4 linked regions of the Macaca mulatta genome follow. The protein of the gene in region 3 interacts with the protein of the main gene of each other region in a biochemical or structural test. Links are inferred from orthologs where the notes say so. Each region holds a gene or a part of one and is shown on either strand. Other genes may lie near its edges.

Region 1 (3,563 bases), on a different chromosome or scaffold from region 3:
CACCTGAGGTCGGGAATTCAAGACCAGCCTGACCAACATGGAGAGACCCTGTCTCTACTTAAAAACCAAAATTAGCCGGGCATGGCGGCGCATGCCTGTAATCCCAGCTACTCAGGAGGCTGAGGCAGGAGAATCGCTTGAACCCAGGAGGCAGAGGTTGCGGTGGGCCAGAGATCATGCCACTGCACTCCAGCCTGGGCAACAAGAGCAAAACTCTGTCTCAAGAAAAAAAAAAAAAAAAAGAAAAAGGAGGAAAGTGAGATGACAAAGCCCCACCTCCTACCCTACTCACCGTGACATCCCAGGGCCGGAAAAGAAACTGTCGATTCAGATTTGACTTCTCAATGGTGTCCATGTCTGTAACGATGATTTCTCCACCCTCCCTGCAGCCCAGCCCAATCATGGCAAAGTTCTTGAGCAGCTCACAGCCAATGGCCCCCGCACCCACCTAAGAGGCAACCAAGAAGACAGGCAGAGGCTGGTCAGGGTGATGCAGGTTAGTGTGAGGCTACCCATCACCCCTCACTCCCCTGAGAGATGGGGAGAGGGGCTAACACCACATCTTCAGGTTCCAGGACTCTAAGAAATGACATGCAGTCGTGTGAGGAAGGAGGAACCAGAGCGGGAAACGAGGGATGCACTGGGCTTCCCTTCAAGATAAGGAGAATGGCAAAGGGAATGCCCCACAGGTTGCGTTGAAATGCTGAAGGAAGCCCCAGGGCAGATGGTCAGAGGCCAAGATGAGGGGAGCAGGCATCCAAGGGGACCACTCACCAGGAAATACTTCTGCTTGCCCAGCTTCTCTTGCAGGTCTGAGCCAAACACAGCCACTTGCCCATCGTAACGGTTCTGGCGCTAAGGAATGCAAAGGGAGGAGGGTCAGAGAGAGGCCTCCCCAGAAATGCCCCCAATGATGCCCTCCCCACAGGTCCCACCCACATACTGGGAGGCACTTGTCCTCCGTGAGGGCCTCTTTGTCCTCAGGGAGACACTCAAGGGCATCAAAGTATAGCCACTGCATGATGGGCATGAACTTCCCGGAGCAGGCCTGGAGAGGGGAAGGGAGAGAGGGGGTGGTCAGTGGTTAACAGGGGCCTGACACAGAGAGCAAGTGATGGAGTCAGGGAGGCACCTGGCCCACCCCAATCCTGCCTCTCCCAACCCATGCTGACCTTCATGACTTCCTGGGCAGCCAGGCCCCCAATGAAGGCGTTTATGGGTGCCAGATCCCCAGCAGCCACATATGCCAACTTCCGGATGAGGTCCTCGTCCAGGTTCTCTTGCTGCACTGCTGGCAGGGCTCGAGCATTCACAGCCTGTGCTAAGGCCACCAGTTCTGTTGCATCCTCCTGGTAGGCCAGAAAGAACCAAAAGAGGATCTGTCAGGCCACAATGAGGGCAGGGAGTGTGGATAAGCAGAAGCATGGTGGGCCTTCAGTGCCAGGCATGTGTGCATTGGCTGGCTCGCCTACCCACCCACCTCATTGCGGGGCCGAGGTGGCCGGCCATGCTGAGCACAGAAGTGGTGCAGGGCCTGGAAGCCAATGTGCAGCTGGGCAGGGTGAGAAAACTTGGCGAAGTCCGTCATCACAAAGTCAGGTTCTGCCAGTGAGGCCACCAAGGATTTCTGTGGCGGGGGAAGGGGGAGGTCATCAGAACCAGAAGAGAGGAATGGAGAACTCGGGAATGCCTAGAACTACCCCACATAGCCACTGTTCCCACTGACACACTCACAAAGCTAATCTTCTTAGGTACTTTGACCTGACTGACGATGCCTCCACGGATATAGTCGGAGAAGTTGGAGGTGTCACAGATGCTAAAGGTATAAGGACCTATAGAGGGCAGGAAGAGAGCTATCAGTCTACCCATTCTCCCTAAAATCCACAACCCCTGCAAGATAAGGAACCTCCTGCCCCAACTCAGCTCAGACATCAGACGCCATCTCCCCTCTGCTCCAGGCTCCACATGGACATCAGAAAACATCTCTCCTGTGCCCCAGACCCAGCTCAGACCCTGTGAGACCCTATGTCCCTGGCTCCAAGTCTACATGGGAAGACCTTATGTGCTTCCCATCCAAATCAGCTCACACACAGTAGATCCTCTGACCTGCCCTGTTCAAACACCAGAGACCTTTTCCCCCTCAGCTCAGATACCAGGGACACATTCTCCCAGGAATAGCTCGAACACAGCACCTCTCCCTCATGCCCACCAGCTCTTATTGGACCCCACGGGATTCTGTCTGTAGTTCATCTTAAACAACAGGATGTGTCTCCCCAATCTGAACCAAGGGCCATGTCTCCTCCCTTCAACTCCCTAGCCAGAACCCAGGAACATATCTCCTAGCTTCCCTCTGCTTCCCCCATGGTCCCAACTCACCCAGGACTTTGATCTCCATGGGCTGATTTCCGTTGAGTTCAACCATGCCCTGTACTTCTGAAAAGGAGACAAAGTCCCCACTTTCAAACCCGTGTCGGGCCTCATCCAGGCAGGTAACCACACCAGGGTTGTCCTGGTTAAAGGAAGAGTGAGTCTCAGAAACAGGCCCAGGGTACCAAGAGCGGACAGGAAGGACTACCACAGCCCACCTGCCCGCCAGGAACCCTAGGGCTGGTCTCCTTACCTTGGTAACCATAGAAACCATAGCACTGAGCGGCTGCTCCCCATTGGAATCTGTGAGGATCATTTCCTTTCCAAAGTCACAGAAGAGCTGCCTGTAGAGGGAAGCAATAGGGCTGATGCCCGTGTCCCATGCACAAACAGGCCCCACAGGTCCCTCAAGATGTAGTGAAAACTTGCTGAGCAAACTCAGCCTATCACTGCTGGGATGTAAGATGGTACTTGTGCCACATGAGGAGAGATGAACACAAAGAACCCAAAATCTGGGTAGCTGAGGAGGGACGAGGGCAGGGAGAGCCTAGAGGTCTTGGCCTGGGCCTGGTAGGAGTTGGAGGAAAAGGGGACAGGGAGCGGGGTGGGCCGCCACTCACCCAAACAGGCCCCTTGTGTCTGCCACCACCAGCTTGATGCCACGGCTGTGACAGAACTCACCCACTCGCAGCTGGTCCTCCAGGGGGGTGTTGGTGAGCACCACCACCTGTGGAGAGATGGAGGCTCAGGCCCAGCATTGGGGTGAAGAGGAGAAAATGGTGGAGGGCTGATGTCAAGGACTCAGGCAGTCCTCAAGGCAGACACATCCAGGCTTTGCTGGGTCAGCCTCTTTCACAAACACACAGCACCTACTGTGCATCAGACTCTGTGGGGGTCAAAAATGAACTCCTAGACTATACCAGGAAAGGTGAAGAGGTAGCTGGGAGGACGGAGTTTGGAGAAGAGCTGACTCATTTATTTGACAAACACCCGCTGCTGTCTGCTTGCCATGCCCTGTGAGACACTGGAGTAAAACTCTGTCTCCAGCCAAAGTCTGAGCTCACTCCTACCACACCCACCTGCTTCCAATTCCCAAGACAATGCCTGCTCCGCATGATCTTTGGGATTTTGCTCTCTGCCTGAATGTCCATCCTTCCCCACCAGGGTGAGCTCCTATTCCTCCATCCGGATTTAGC
Region 2 (3,563 bases), on a different chromosome or scaffold from region 3:
CTGTAGTCCCAGCTACTTGGGAGGCTAAGGCAGGAGAATGGCATGAACCTGGGTGGCGGAGCTTGCAGTGAGCCGAGATTGCACCACTGCACTCCAGCCTGGGCGACAGAGTGAAACTCCGTCTCAAAGAAAAAAAAAAAAAGTGAATGTTCACAAAACACACACACAAAAAAGGTGGGCCAAAGCTTTTCTGCATTAAGAAACTAAAGAGATAGAACCAAATACAGTGACTGAACTTGTTTAGATTCTGGTTCAATCAAATAGCTTTAAAATATATTTTCAGAAATAATTAGGAAGTTTCAAATGTTTGTTTACTAGATAACAGTATGCCACTATCATTAAATTTTTTAAAAGTACTGTCATGATGTAGAAGCATTTCCTTATCTTAGGAGAAACGTGGAAATATTTAGTTGAAGCATTATCATAACTCCAACTTCATGTAGTTCAGCAAAAATATTAAGGGAACAAATATGGCAAAGTATTATCAATTGTTAATTTGGGTGGAAGGTATTCTACTATTCATAGTCCTATCCTTTCAAATTTTCTGTATGTTTGAAAACTTTCACTATAAAAACTTCCAGATAGTGTATATTCTCATTATAAAGCTCATTTTTGAGAAAATAATATAAAAATTCCTTCATGGGGGAAAACATGTAAGAGAATTCTCTAAATAAGTCCAAGTACTTAAATAAAACACTGGATGTGTGGTCTGCAAATCAAGTACCAAAAATTGCTGGAGAGCCTAAGGAATTCTGTGTATACATACCGGTTAAAACATGGTGAAGCAGGGTCATTGAAATGTTTGTAAGGGTTTGCTCTAGAGAGAGAACCCATGCAAATCCAACAGAAATATTGCTTACAGCCAGTACATGTCATCTTGTTACATCCATCTAATTTCTGGTGGGAAGGATAGAAAGAGAAAAATATCAAGGCTGTAAGAGCAGAAGAGACATGCACATGCCAAAGTGATTCAGTACAACATTGTCCTGGTCTTCTCCTTTTTCTTATGCAGGGTTGAGATATCAATGTAACACACTGATGACTATGTAATTCTATTTTGCACTCTAAAATACAGAAAATAGCTAGTGTTACTACAACTAGTTACTTGGCACAATCTCTTCTGATAAGCAGTAGATAAAAATCACACACATATAACTGGAACATGTAGATTAATATTAAAATACTTGGATGTAACGTGTGGGTTTTTAATTTTTACATAAATCCAAGTAAATATTTGGTACCAAGTCCTCCACTCTGTCATAGGGCTAAGGTATGTCAAAAGTGATTAAATGGCCAGGTGTGGTGGCTCATGCCTGTAATCCCAGCACTTTGGGAGGCCAAGGTGGGTGGGTCATTTGAGGTCAGGAGTTGGAGACCAGCCTGGCCAACATGATAAAACCCCATCTCTACTAAAAATACAAACATTAGCCAGGTGTGGTGGCTGGCACCTGTAATCCCAGCTACTCGGGAGGCTGAGGCATGAAAATTCCTTGAACCTGGGAGGCGGAGATTGTAGTTAGCCTATATTGCACTACCACACTCCAGCCTGGGCAACAGAGAGAGACTCAGTATCAAAAAAACAAAAAAGTGATTATATATAGTGCCAGTTTCCTTACCTGGAGTATCACTACTATGTTCAGTTCAGACATAATAGATTAGAACAATAGAATCAAATGCAAAGATGTATTTTGATTTTAAAACATATTAAGAATGGCCGGGCGCGGTGGCTCAAGCCTGTAATCCCAGCACTTTGGGAGGCCGAGACGGGCGGATCACAAGGTCAGGAGATCGAGACCAGCCTGGCTAATACGGTGAAACCCCGTCTCTACTAAAAAATACAAAAAAAAAAAACTAGCCGGGTGAGGTGGCGGGCGCCTGTAGTCCCAGCTACTCGGGAGGCTGAGGCAGGAGAATGGCGTAGACCCGGGAGGCGGAGCTTGCAGTGAGCTGAGATGCGGCCACTGCACTCCAGCCTGGGCGACAGAGCGAGACTCCGTCTCAAAAAAAAAAAATAAATAAATAAAAAATAAAAATAAAAAAAAAAAATAAAAAATAAAAATAAAAAAAATAAAACATATTAAGATTTTTGTCAAGAAGCAATAGAGTTGTGTAATTATTTTGACTCAGATTAATTCCTGAGTGTATCTTAAACAGGTGTGCAGCATTCCAGGATAAATAGTTCTGAGAGGTCAGATTTGATTTTTTTTAATCACATAGATGAGGTAAGAAGTGACCATAGCTCTAGTATGCCCTCCTTACAACCCATTCAATTTTGAGATGGATACAATGTAAGAACAATGGTCACTGTAAGAAAGACACAAAGAAAAGACTTTGAAAAGGGAAGTCTACAAACATTTAAGGTCGATAACAAGATTTAGTAGTGAAATTTCCACCTTCCAAGTAAGGAAGGTGCAATAATACCAGCATGTGTTTTGTAAGTCATAAAATTGACTAATAAGGCTTCTTAAGGTAATCATAGCATGCTTGCAAGTCTGATGGCCTCCAAGTCTGTCCCAAATCATTTACCTCTATGGGAGTTCCACAACATGGGCAGCTCTTTGAGTTCTTCTCTAGCCACTCCTTACTTTCCATCTCTTCCAGTGCCTTCTGAATCACTCTCTTACCATACCTTTGATCCAAAAGTCTTTTATTAGCCTCATCTGCTTGCAGGTATTCATTTCGTAAGTCCATTAATTTCTCTAGAAAGTGAAATGGAAAATTAACTTTTATATAACTTTGTAATGCAAACTAAAAATCATTAAAAATGGCTATAATCTTTGACTATTCAATAATGTTATTCCTAGAACTTTATCATAAGGAAGTAATCCAAAGTCATATGCATGGAGATGCATATAACAGTGGCAAAAAAATTAAATTTCTAAGGAAATAATTATGTTTGAAAGAGCCATTTAATGTCGCAATATTCAATTATTAAAAACATAATTACATTCGCTACAACCCAATTAAAACACTCATCACAGAATCCAGAAAAAAAGTATATTTATGTTACAACCCAGTAAAAATTATACATGCACAAATGATAATGAATGGAAAGGAATCCCCCAACTAGAAAAGATGTATCTGCTAAAAGTGGTAGAATAAGATAGGTTATTTTTTTCCTTTGTTTTGATTTCTTAATGTTGGTATGTTTATGCAACTAGAAGTATGCAGTTAAAGACTGACTTATCTAGAAGATACAAAGGTTGAAACAGACATTGATTTTTCCACTAAGTTGGCACCATTCACCGTTTGATAATGAAGAGGCCTACCAAATACAAAGGCACCTTTGGCTTAAGAGCAAAGACTACCTCTTCAATTTTGTGTTAAAAAAAAAAAAAATCAGTGAATAAAACTTACCACTCAAGTCTCACCCTGTACTATGCTTTGCTATAGGTGCTGAAAAGTTTTCCCTTGATACTCTTCAGTCTGGCTTCTACTGCTCTATCATTTAACTGAAATGGAACAGGTAACTAATCCCAAAGGCTTTACTTGCAGACAAGAGGCTTTTGTTCACAATTCTATTACTTAATTTTTCAACACAATTAAAGAGTTTTCCCAACAAT
Region 3 (4,069 bases):
AGTAATGCTAACATGGCTGCTTCCTCTTTGTTCTCAGAGGCATAACCCAAATCCCTTAACAGAAACTTTGCAGCTTTTTTTCTCACTTGCTGCTGCAAATAAGTAAGTCATTTACACTTGATTTGAAAAATACTCATCCACTAGTACTCAGTAAAGAATATAATATCTATTTCAAAACACTTTTTACCAAAGAAATTCTCTTTTCAAGCTTATATGCAAATGAGACAAAAAGGGAGGAGGGAAAGCACTGGAATATTTGACAAGGACTTCGAGTGACTTTTACTGAGGTAAAAATTAACAGGCTACTGCAACAGCACATTAACAGTTCTGACAATATTTTATCTGTCAAAAAAAAAGTTTAAAATTTACAAATATCTTTACTGGTGAAAAACTTTCGAAGACTACATGACATTCTAATTTACCCATTTCTGTTTTCCCTGATCATAGGCACAGCACTTAAATTTAGTAAATATTGACAGAAAGAGAAAATACATAGGCCTGAGTTAAGGGGGAGAAAAGCAGTTCTCTGATTTGATTCAAATTTAAGATGCTTTCAAAACTTTAGACGTGTCTAATATGTTCTGCATCAACACTATACCAAATTGAGAAGGATTTTATATTATGTCAAAGACTGCTGCCATTCAAAAATATTCTCAAGTTATTAATACATCATTACTGAGACAATAAAGGTGAAAATCCATAGAAAAATATGAGTATTTATGAATCACCACAGAATGCAGTATTTGTAGAAATATTTTTTCCTTTAGTTGTGATCAATAAAAATTAACAAAATGTCAACATTGGCTAACGCTGTAGAGATTATACATTTTATGTATAATTACTAGAGTTTGTGGATGTTCCACTACTACTACCACTGACAGAGTCTCATTGACAGAATCTTTTCTTCTCTATCAGAAAATATAAATCAATAGGAAACAAATGATCTTCCACTTACATCCAATTAAATATGTTTCTCCTGCTGTTGAGTATTAACTTGTCAAGCACATCCACAAGTTTCAGAGTGAAGAGGTCCAAGGACAATGAAAGTTTTCTATCACCAGTGACACCTCAAATTGTAAAGGGCTACTTTTCAGTTTGATTTGCCCTCACAAGCACAGGGAGGGATAATCATAATTTAACCACGAAAGTTACCTGTGATACATGATTTAAAGTCATGTTTTGTAAAACTGTAAGCAGATTTGCAGCACGATTTTAAATCTGCTTTCAAACATAGCAAAGGCCTGAATTTGCAATTTTCTAGCAAATATGATCATTTCTGATCATTAAGTTTCATGAAGAGAGGCCCTGCTAATCTCTGGAAGTGTCAATTTCATTAAAGAAGATTATGACTCATAAAAGGAAACATCCCCAAAGTACCATCTAATTTGGGTTCACCAAATTTTCCTTGCCAACTCCTTAAACAATCTGTCAGAATGTTAGTCTAATCTCTACTCAAGGATACTCAACTGAAGTTACCGAAGTACAGAATAAGTTTGCTTAAAAGCATAATTCTAGCAAGGTTGCATACATACCACCTAAAGAATGACAACTCATTCAAGTACAAATAAACTGATAATGAAGTAAATATTTCTGAACTATTGCTACTGATGTAAAACCAACAAAAGCGTCCAACCACCTGGAAGACAACCTGACAAAGTGTGCTGGATCCTTCTTTTACACATTACCTTTTAGCACTAGTGGATAACTTAGCAGTGGTTTTGCTAGAGAGTTTGGTGTTTTTCTTCTGCTGGGCGGCAGAAGGTTTTCTTTCCTCTTGTTCTTCAGGCTCTGGAGCGGCTGGGTCTCGCTGGTCCGCATCTGAACTGCCACTGCTGGTGCTGGGGCTCTCATCATCGGACCTTTGCCTATCACTGGACATCTTGGTGAAGTTATCTCTTGGAAAACTTTTAAAGAGAACAGGGGAGGATGGGGAGAAAATGTTAAATCTAGGAAATAAACCAACAGCATTTTCTTCTATTCATCTAATATCGTATTGTAATGAAAAAGCTTCAAAAGTGTTCACACTTATTTCATCATACAACAAGGGTTACAAGGGAGGTGATGTGTCACACAACGCCAGCGTTCAGGGATTTGCCGAACTCAAGTTAGAAAACCCACTCACATTTTTTTCCATCTCTTGGACAATCTATCAATTGTCTACTTTCTCAGAAGGCATGAAACAGATTTGCCAAGGAACTTAGGCAACAAGCATTAATAACATATGACATACTGTAAATAACAGATCTCGCTGAAAAAATGTTTAAAAGTCACTAATAACGTCTAAATATTTACACACTGACATTGGTCAAAGCTACCAAATTCCCTTTCCGAGAGGAAAACACACCCTGTTAATCGCCCATATGCTTATTTAAGGTGGCGATTCCTTCTCAGTGCACGTAAAGGCTTTAAACACAACACTTGGAAATTTAAAAATCAACTAACGAGCTCCTCTAGCTGTTTCCACCGCCAGCAGCGAAGATTCATCTGGCCAAGACCTAGCTGCCACCCTGGGAAAAGCAGAATTCAAACTGCACCTTCTGCAAAGCTCCCAATGCCACCAAGGTTCCTCGCTCAATTTTTACATCACGGACCGACATTTTGTCCAAAATAACGAAAAAAATAAGAAACCCAGAGGAAAAACAAACAAACAAACAAAGCCCCAAGAAGTGCAACAAATTTCCGCGCCCGCGGAGGCGAGCCGCGGCCGGCGGCGGCGGCCACGCAGCTCCGCGGCCCTTTGTGGGGAGGGCCGCGCGGGGGCCGCGGGCAGCGCTCGCCGCGCCGGGCGCCAAGTGATGCGAGCAGCCCGGCCGGCCCCGCCGCGGCTCGCGGACACCGGCGGCGCGGGCGCCCGGCGCGAACAAAGCTGCCCGCCCCCGCCCCCTCCCCCACCGCAGCCGCCGCCGCCCCGGCCGCCCCCCACGCGGCCCCCCGGCCCCTCCGCCTTACCTCGGCCGCCCGCCCGGCCCGCTCGCGCGCCGCTACGGTGTGGGGGAGGGAGAGAGAAAAAAACCCTTCCTTAAGGAAATGGAGGCAGCTGTGGGGGGGGGAAGGGGGGGGAGGGAAAAAAAGAAGCCGAGGAGGCTCTGGCCGGGGAGTGTGGAACATTGAAAGTCGGAGGGGGTTGTGCAGTGCCGGGCTCCGGCCGGAGGGTGGCGCCGCCCAGCGCCTTCGGAAAAAAGGGGGGGTGGGAGCTCGGCTGGGCGAGGGCGCGAGCTCCCGGCGAGGCGGAGGGGACGCGGGAGACCCCCGCGCGCTGTGGCCTCCCGCCGCCGCCGCCCGGCTCGGCTCCTCCCGGCCGCGCAGTCAGCAAGTTCCGAGGCGAACGCGGGGGGAGGGGCGGGCGCGGCGGCGGCGCGCGTGCTCGCTGCTTGCCTGGCGGAGGGGCGCGCGCCGCCGGCGCCCGGCGGGCGCGAGCTGTTCCCGCGCGCTCCCGCGCGCGCTCCCCGCACCTCCCCTCACCCGGGGGGTGCACGCGTCCGCCCGCGCGCGGCCAGGACAAAGAGCGCGGCGGGGACCTGGCGGGCTGGCCCCTGCCGCCCTTGGCCGCGGAGCCTGTGCCAGAGAAGGCGGGGGCGCGGGCACCGTATCGTGGGGCCGCTGTGCCGCGGGGTGGCTTCCGGCCTGGGCCCGCCTCCGGGCGGAGGCTGCCCATTGGGCTACCCGCGTCCCCAGGGCTAGTTCCATCCCGTTCGCCTGCGTGGGGGACGTCGTGGCTCCCGGGGCCCCAGTACCTGGGAAAGGGCCCTGGGCGCGTGGTTGGGAGTCCCCCGCCGCCCCGGGAGACGGGAGACTAATGGGTGTTGTTGGCGAGGCCAGGCACGCAGGCGGAGAAGAGCTGCCACTTGCCCCTCGTGTAAGCTGGAGGAAGGGACAAGGTGGGGTCCTGGGCATTGAAGAGAGTAGAATATATTTGTTGATTAGGGGACCAACCTCTATTTATTTTTGGCTCACAGCTTGCAACTGTCGCTGCCAAAAGAGACCGTCCTTCGGATGCTTTGAAACCTTAAAAATCCAAAACAGTGTTTAAAATGTCCCGCTCAACATTCTTAAAAGTGAAGGAGAAGAG
Region 4 (4,168 bases), about 38 Mb from region 3:
GAGGAAATAATAGAGTTCAAGTGGTTTACCTCTTACTACATGGTGTGCTAGAGACTAATAATAATAATATTTGTTGTTTACTAAGAGCCAGGCACTGTACTAACTGATTTAATGTGACAACATACTTAATCTCAAATGCCATCAATCAGTTGCTGTTCTTATCCCCATTCTAGAGATGAGGAAATTGAGACATAGAGAAGTTAAGTAATTTGTCCATAATTCTAGGGTTAGAAAGCGGTGGAGATGGAACTTATACCCAAATAATACAACTTCAGAGCTTATACTCCATAAGAAGTATGAGAGAGTCAATGCCTTAGGAATATAAACTGGTATACATACATCCCTTCTAGACCCATTTTCCACTGGAGTTGGGGGTACCAAATCCCACCCAAAAGGTATCCCTCTTTGTACAATACCTGAGCACTGTATTTTCTTCGACCCTTGTACACCCTCCCAAAAGAGCCTTCTCCAATCATCTCCAACACGTGGTACTTTTCCATGACAGAGGTTTCAGAATCTCTTAGAAGGAAAAAGGTAGAGACGGTGAAGAGCTATAGATCCAGGGACAATTCCACAACATCTGGGAGGCCTAGTTGGGGCATGGGAAAGGAAAAATGTTAGCCATCTTGCCTTTTCTCTTTTTCACAAAGACCAAGCCTCAAAAAACATGGGAGGGTAGAATGATGCAAAGATGATGCGATCTTGGAACAAACACAGCATCTCTTTGTAGTTCCTCTCCACTTTCAGCCTCCTGTCCCCAACCCGGCCCCATGCCCACCTGACACCTGGTCCCCCTTCTCCCTCATCCAGCTTGGCCCACTCGACCCTGCTCTCTTAACCTAGCATCGCCCACCCAACCCTGCTCCTTCGAGTCTCCCCCAAGTTCCTGCCACTCCCAGATTCCTCAGCACCTGCTCTCAGACCCCCTGGCCCATGCGCTTCGCAAGCCAGGGTCCCTCTCTCATCCCCAGCCTAGGAGATCCAAGCTCCTCGGGCCCAGGGACGGATTCCCTGGCCTTTAGCCCCATATCTTCTGGCTGCCTGCATACGTTGCCTGACTTACAATTCTTCTCCACCCGCCCCTCTCGCCAGTCTCTTTTGGCTCCCTTTCTAACAATTTCACTCGCTAGAACTGGTGAGAAGTTCAGAGGACAAAGGCGCTCAGAGGTGTGGGAGGGACGGCGGACCACACATGGGCACTTCCTGGGACGCATCCGAACTGCCTCTGGGCCATCAGGCCCGGCTAAGGACCCGGAGTCTGCGGTTGCCTAGAAACGACGCTAGCTGCCCACCCCTCTTAGTTTTCCGCCTCCGACTTCCCTAAGGGCATTTCCGGTTCCGGCTGCGGGCCGGTGAAGACATGGCGGCGTCTGCGTCTGCAGCTACAGGGGAGGAGGACTGGTAACTTCGGGGGCATGGGCTTTGGCTGACAGTCTGGGTCTAGTCCAGAGGCCTAGCAGCTGTCGCAGACGGTCCGTACGGCGGGCGTGTGGGGTGGAGCGAAGGATGAGGGATGGCAGAGATGCTGACATCTCCTCTGGGAGATCTTCTAGACTGGGGAACGGGAGGGTGGAGGGGCGCTGATCTGAGTGAGAAGAGACCGGGTCTGCGCCCGCCAGACCAGTTCAGGCCTCGCCTTATCCGGTTCGATCCCCTTTCCTCCAGCTTCACGCTATCCCTTTCTATGCTCCTCAAATGAATTTTCTCAGGGGCTTTGGGGGATGCCTGCCCGTCAGACCTCCCCATCTCCCTTTCGCCTCTCAGAACTAGTGCCCTCCAGTTCGGTACCCCTTTCTCCTTGGATCAGCGTTTTTCCGCCGACGCTTTCCTCAACCTTCTCTCTCCCACACAGCACTAGTGAGGACTATTGTCTGAATAAAGCTTTACACCTCACATAAAGTCCCTCTAGTCCTTCTCTCAAGCATTCTTAACTAAAGACTAGAACATGGAAGGACTCTGGGATTTGGAAGTAGGATCAATGTGGGTTAACTCCGCATTTTATTAGCTGTGTGATGCTGACCAGGCCATCTAGCTTCTGTGAGTCAGTGTCCTCAGCTGTAAAAACAAAGTGGGTGTGGTATTTACCTCAGAATAGTTGAGAGGATCACGATGGATTTGTAATATACTTAAGTCTGTTTTTTTGTTTTGTTTTGTTTTGTTTTGTTTTTTGAGACAGAGTCTCACTGTCACCCACGCTGGAGTGCGGTGGTGCGATTATGGCTCACTGCAGCCTCAACCTCCCCAGGCTCAGGTGATCCTCCTGCCTCAGCCTTCCAAGTAGCTGAGGCTACAGGTCTGTGCCACCATGCCCAGCTAATTTTGTATTTTTTGTAGAGACAGAGTTTTGCCATGTTGGCCAGGCTGGTCTTGAACCCCTGGGTTCAAGTGATCCTCCCACCTCAGCCTCCCAAGGTGCTGGAATTACAGGCGTGAGCCACCACACCCGGCCTCCTTTTCATTAATAACTGAGGTGCAGGCACCTGGGAAGATTAGATGAGCCCCAAAGAAGTAAAGTGATTTGCCAAAAGGTGGAAAATTGCGACTAGAAATCCACATCTATCTGACTCCACACCTTAGATTCTTTATACTAGGACATTCTTCAGTCCCCTCTCCCCCATTTTGTTGTCACCACCTTACCAGCATCCCATCCAGGACCCACATAACTAGGGTAGGCAAAGTATTGAAGGGCCACTTGACTGAGGCTACACCTCAGTGTTACATTGGTTCAGGGAGCCCTGCTAGTACTGGCCTTTATTAAGACTATCTAGACTACTGGTTTTCAAAGTGTTCAGGGAAACTTTTTCTTTTCTTTTTTTAAGAGACGGAGTCTTACTTTGTCACCCAGGCTGGAGTACAGTGGCAAGATCATGGCTCATTACAGACTCAACCTTCTGGGCTCCAGCGATTCTTCTGCCTCAGCCTCCCAAGTAGCTGGGACCACTGTGTCCAGCTAATTTTTTATTTTCTGTAGAGATAGTCTCGCTTTGTTGCCCAGGCTGGTCTCGAACTCCTGGCCTCAAGTGATCCTCCCACCTCAGCCTCCCAAAGTGCTGGGATAACTTATAGTTGACCTGTTCAGGGGAACTTTTAAGATTCAGGGGAAACACCTTGAGCCATGGAGAGAACAACAGTGAGTGCAGCAGCCTGTAGTGCTGTGAGACTCCCATCCCATGTCAGCCAAAACTACACTATTTTCTGTGAGGTGTAAAGCTTTGTATTTTATATTTTGAAGTTTCTGCCTAAGACTTAACAACAACTGACATAAGTCATGCTGGAGCAGCCTTACTCTTAGAATGAAGAGAGAGCAGTATGAGAAAGGAAAGTATGCATTTTTCCATGTATCACCTGGTAGAGCTGTAGACACAAACTGATCACTCAGCTTCAATTTCAATACAACTACTGTTTCTATGCTTATGCATGTGTGTCCTCTGATTTACATCGGAACATGGATGCTAACCTCAACAGGCTGATCTAGATCAACCAGACAGCCAGGGTCATAAATACATCCAGAGTACTCTACTACCTCCCTCCTTCCCTCTTCCTTCTAAGGGAGAAGGTTATATACAGACAGGAAGAAAAAGAGGATGTAGACTAGCTACTATAGCCCAGATACTATTAGGTACTTTATATAAACAAATCACCTTTTATCCTCATAGTAACCCTAGAGAGTAGGTGTTATCATCTATATGTGATAGACAGGATAACTTAAGCTTACAGAGAGGTCACTTCCCAGATCGCATAGCTTGTAAGTGATTGGTACCTGTTACTAACTCCGAGGCTGCTGGCTTTTCCATTACAACACAGCCTTTACACCACCCTAGACCTGTTGTGTTGAGGTTGCTATCTCCTTTAAGAAGGCTTAGGGTGACTGGTGTTAAAAGTGTATGTAGACAGTAGCCAAGGCACTGGGATCCACACTGGACATTGATGTAGGGAAAGGCTGGAGTAATATTGGTAACGTTAATGCTAGTAAATGGGTGCCGTACCTCTAGACCAGAAAGTCAGCCACTAAGGGGAATGAAACTTAAACAGGGAGTCAGGAACCCGACTCTGGGCCCAGTTCTACCTATGTTAAGCCTTGGTTAGTCATTTTATTTTTCTGGAATCCACTTCTTCATCTCTTGGCAGAAATAATGCTTAAAATTCTGATTTTTGTGCCTCCTATTTG

Evidence for each region.
Region 1: of the proteins of UBE2E3 (region 3) and UBA1, one has a biochemical effect on the other in vitro, tested with the Homo sapiens proteins (3 studies listed by BioGRID, with this or other methods). The link is inferred for Macaca mulatta from reciprocal best matches to the Homo sapiens genes UBE2E3 and UBA1.
Region 2: the proteins of UBE2E3 (region 3) and RNF14 form a complex in vitro, tested with the Homo sapiens proteins (2 studies listed by BioGRID). The link is inferred for Macaca mulatta from reciprocal best matches to the Homo sapiens genes UBE2E3 and RNF14.
Region 4: the proteins of UBE2E3 (region 3) and RNF25 form a complex in vitro, tested with the Homo sapiens proteins (2 studies listed by BioGRID, with this or other methods). The link is inferred for Macaca mulatta from reciprocal best matches to the Homo sapiens genes UBE2E3 and RNF25.

What each region holds. Positions count from the first base shown.
Region 1 is NC_133426.1:47,232,061-47,235,623, reverse strand, and holds part of UBA1 (ubiquitin-like modifier-activating enzyme 1), read right to left. Parts: intron 3,095-3,563; coding exon 2,988-3,094; coding exon of another isoform or gene 2,900-2,987; intron 2,733-2,899; coding exon of another isoform or gene 2,712-2,732; coding exon 2,621-2,711; intron 2,510-2,620; coding exon 2,377-2,509; intron 1,833-2,376; coding exon 1,735-1,832; intron 1,628-1,734; coding exon 1,481-1,627; intron 1,350-1,480; coding exon 1,173-1,349; intron 1,049-1,172; coding exon 944-1,048; intron 856-943; coding exon 775-855; intron 449-774; coding exon 293-448; intron 1-292. UniProt on the Homo sapiens protein: Catalyzes the first step in ubiquitin conjugation to mark cellular proteins for degradation through the ubiquitin-proteasome system.
Region 2 is NC_133411.1:150,838,662-150,842,224, reverse strand, and holds part of RNF14 (E3 ubiquitin-protein ligase RNF14), read right to left. Parts: intron 2,700-3,563; coding exon 2,527-2,699; exon of another isoform or gene 2,501-2,526; intron 933-2,500; exon of another isoform or gene 898-932; coding exon 767-897; intron 1-766. UniProt on the Homo sapiens protein: E3 ubiquitin-protein ligase that plays a key role in the RNF14-RNF25 translation quality control pathway, a pathway that takes place when a ribosome has stalled during translation, and which promotes ubiquitination and degradation of translation factors on stalled ribosomes.
Region 3 is NC_133417.1:85,866,683-85,870,751, reverse strand, and holds the start of UBE2E3 (ubiquitin-conjugating enzyme E2 E3), read right to left. Parts: upstream 2,535-4,069; intron 2,105-2,534; coding exon of another isoform or gene 2,062-2,104; intron 1,905-2,061; 5' UTR 1,880-1,904; coding exon 1,686-1,879; intron 1-1,685. Other genes in the region: uncharacterized protein LOC144333280, read left to right, coding at 2,062-2,104, 2,625-3,856. UniProt on the Homo sapiens protein: Accepts ubiquitin from the E1 complex and catalyzes its covalent attachment to other proteins. In vitro catalyzes 'Lys-11'- and 'Lys-48'-, as well as 'Lys-63'-linked polyubiquitination.
Region 4 is NC_133417.1:123,910,926-123,915,093, reverse strand, and holds the start of RNF25 (E3 ubiquitin-protein ligase RNF25), read left to right. Parts: upstream 1-1,328; 5' UTR 1,329-1,360; coding exon 1,361-1,401; intron 1,402-4,168. Other genes in the region: STK36 (serine/threonine-protein kinase 36), read right to left, coding at 417-500. UniProt on the Homo sapiens protein: E3 ubiquitin-protein ligase that plays a key role in the RNF14-RNF25 translation quality control pathway, a pathway that takes place when a ribosome has stalled during translation, and which promotes ubiquitination and degradation of translation factors on stalled ribosomes.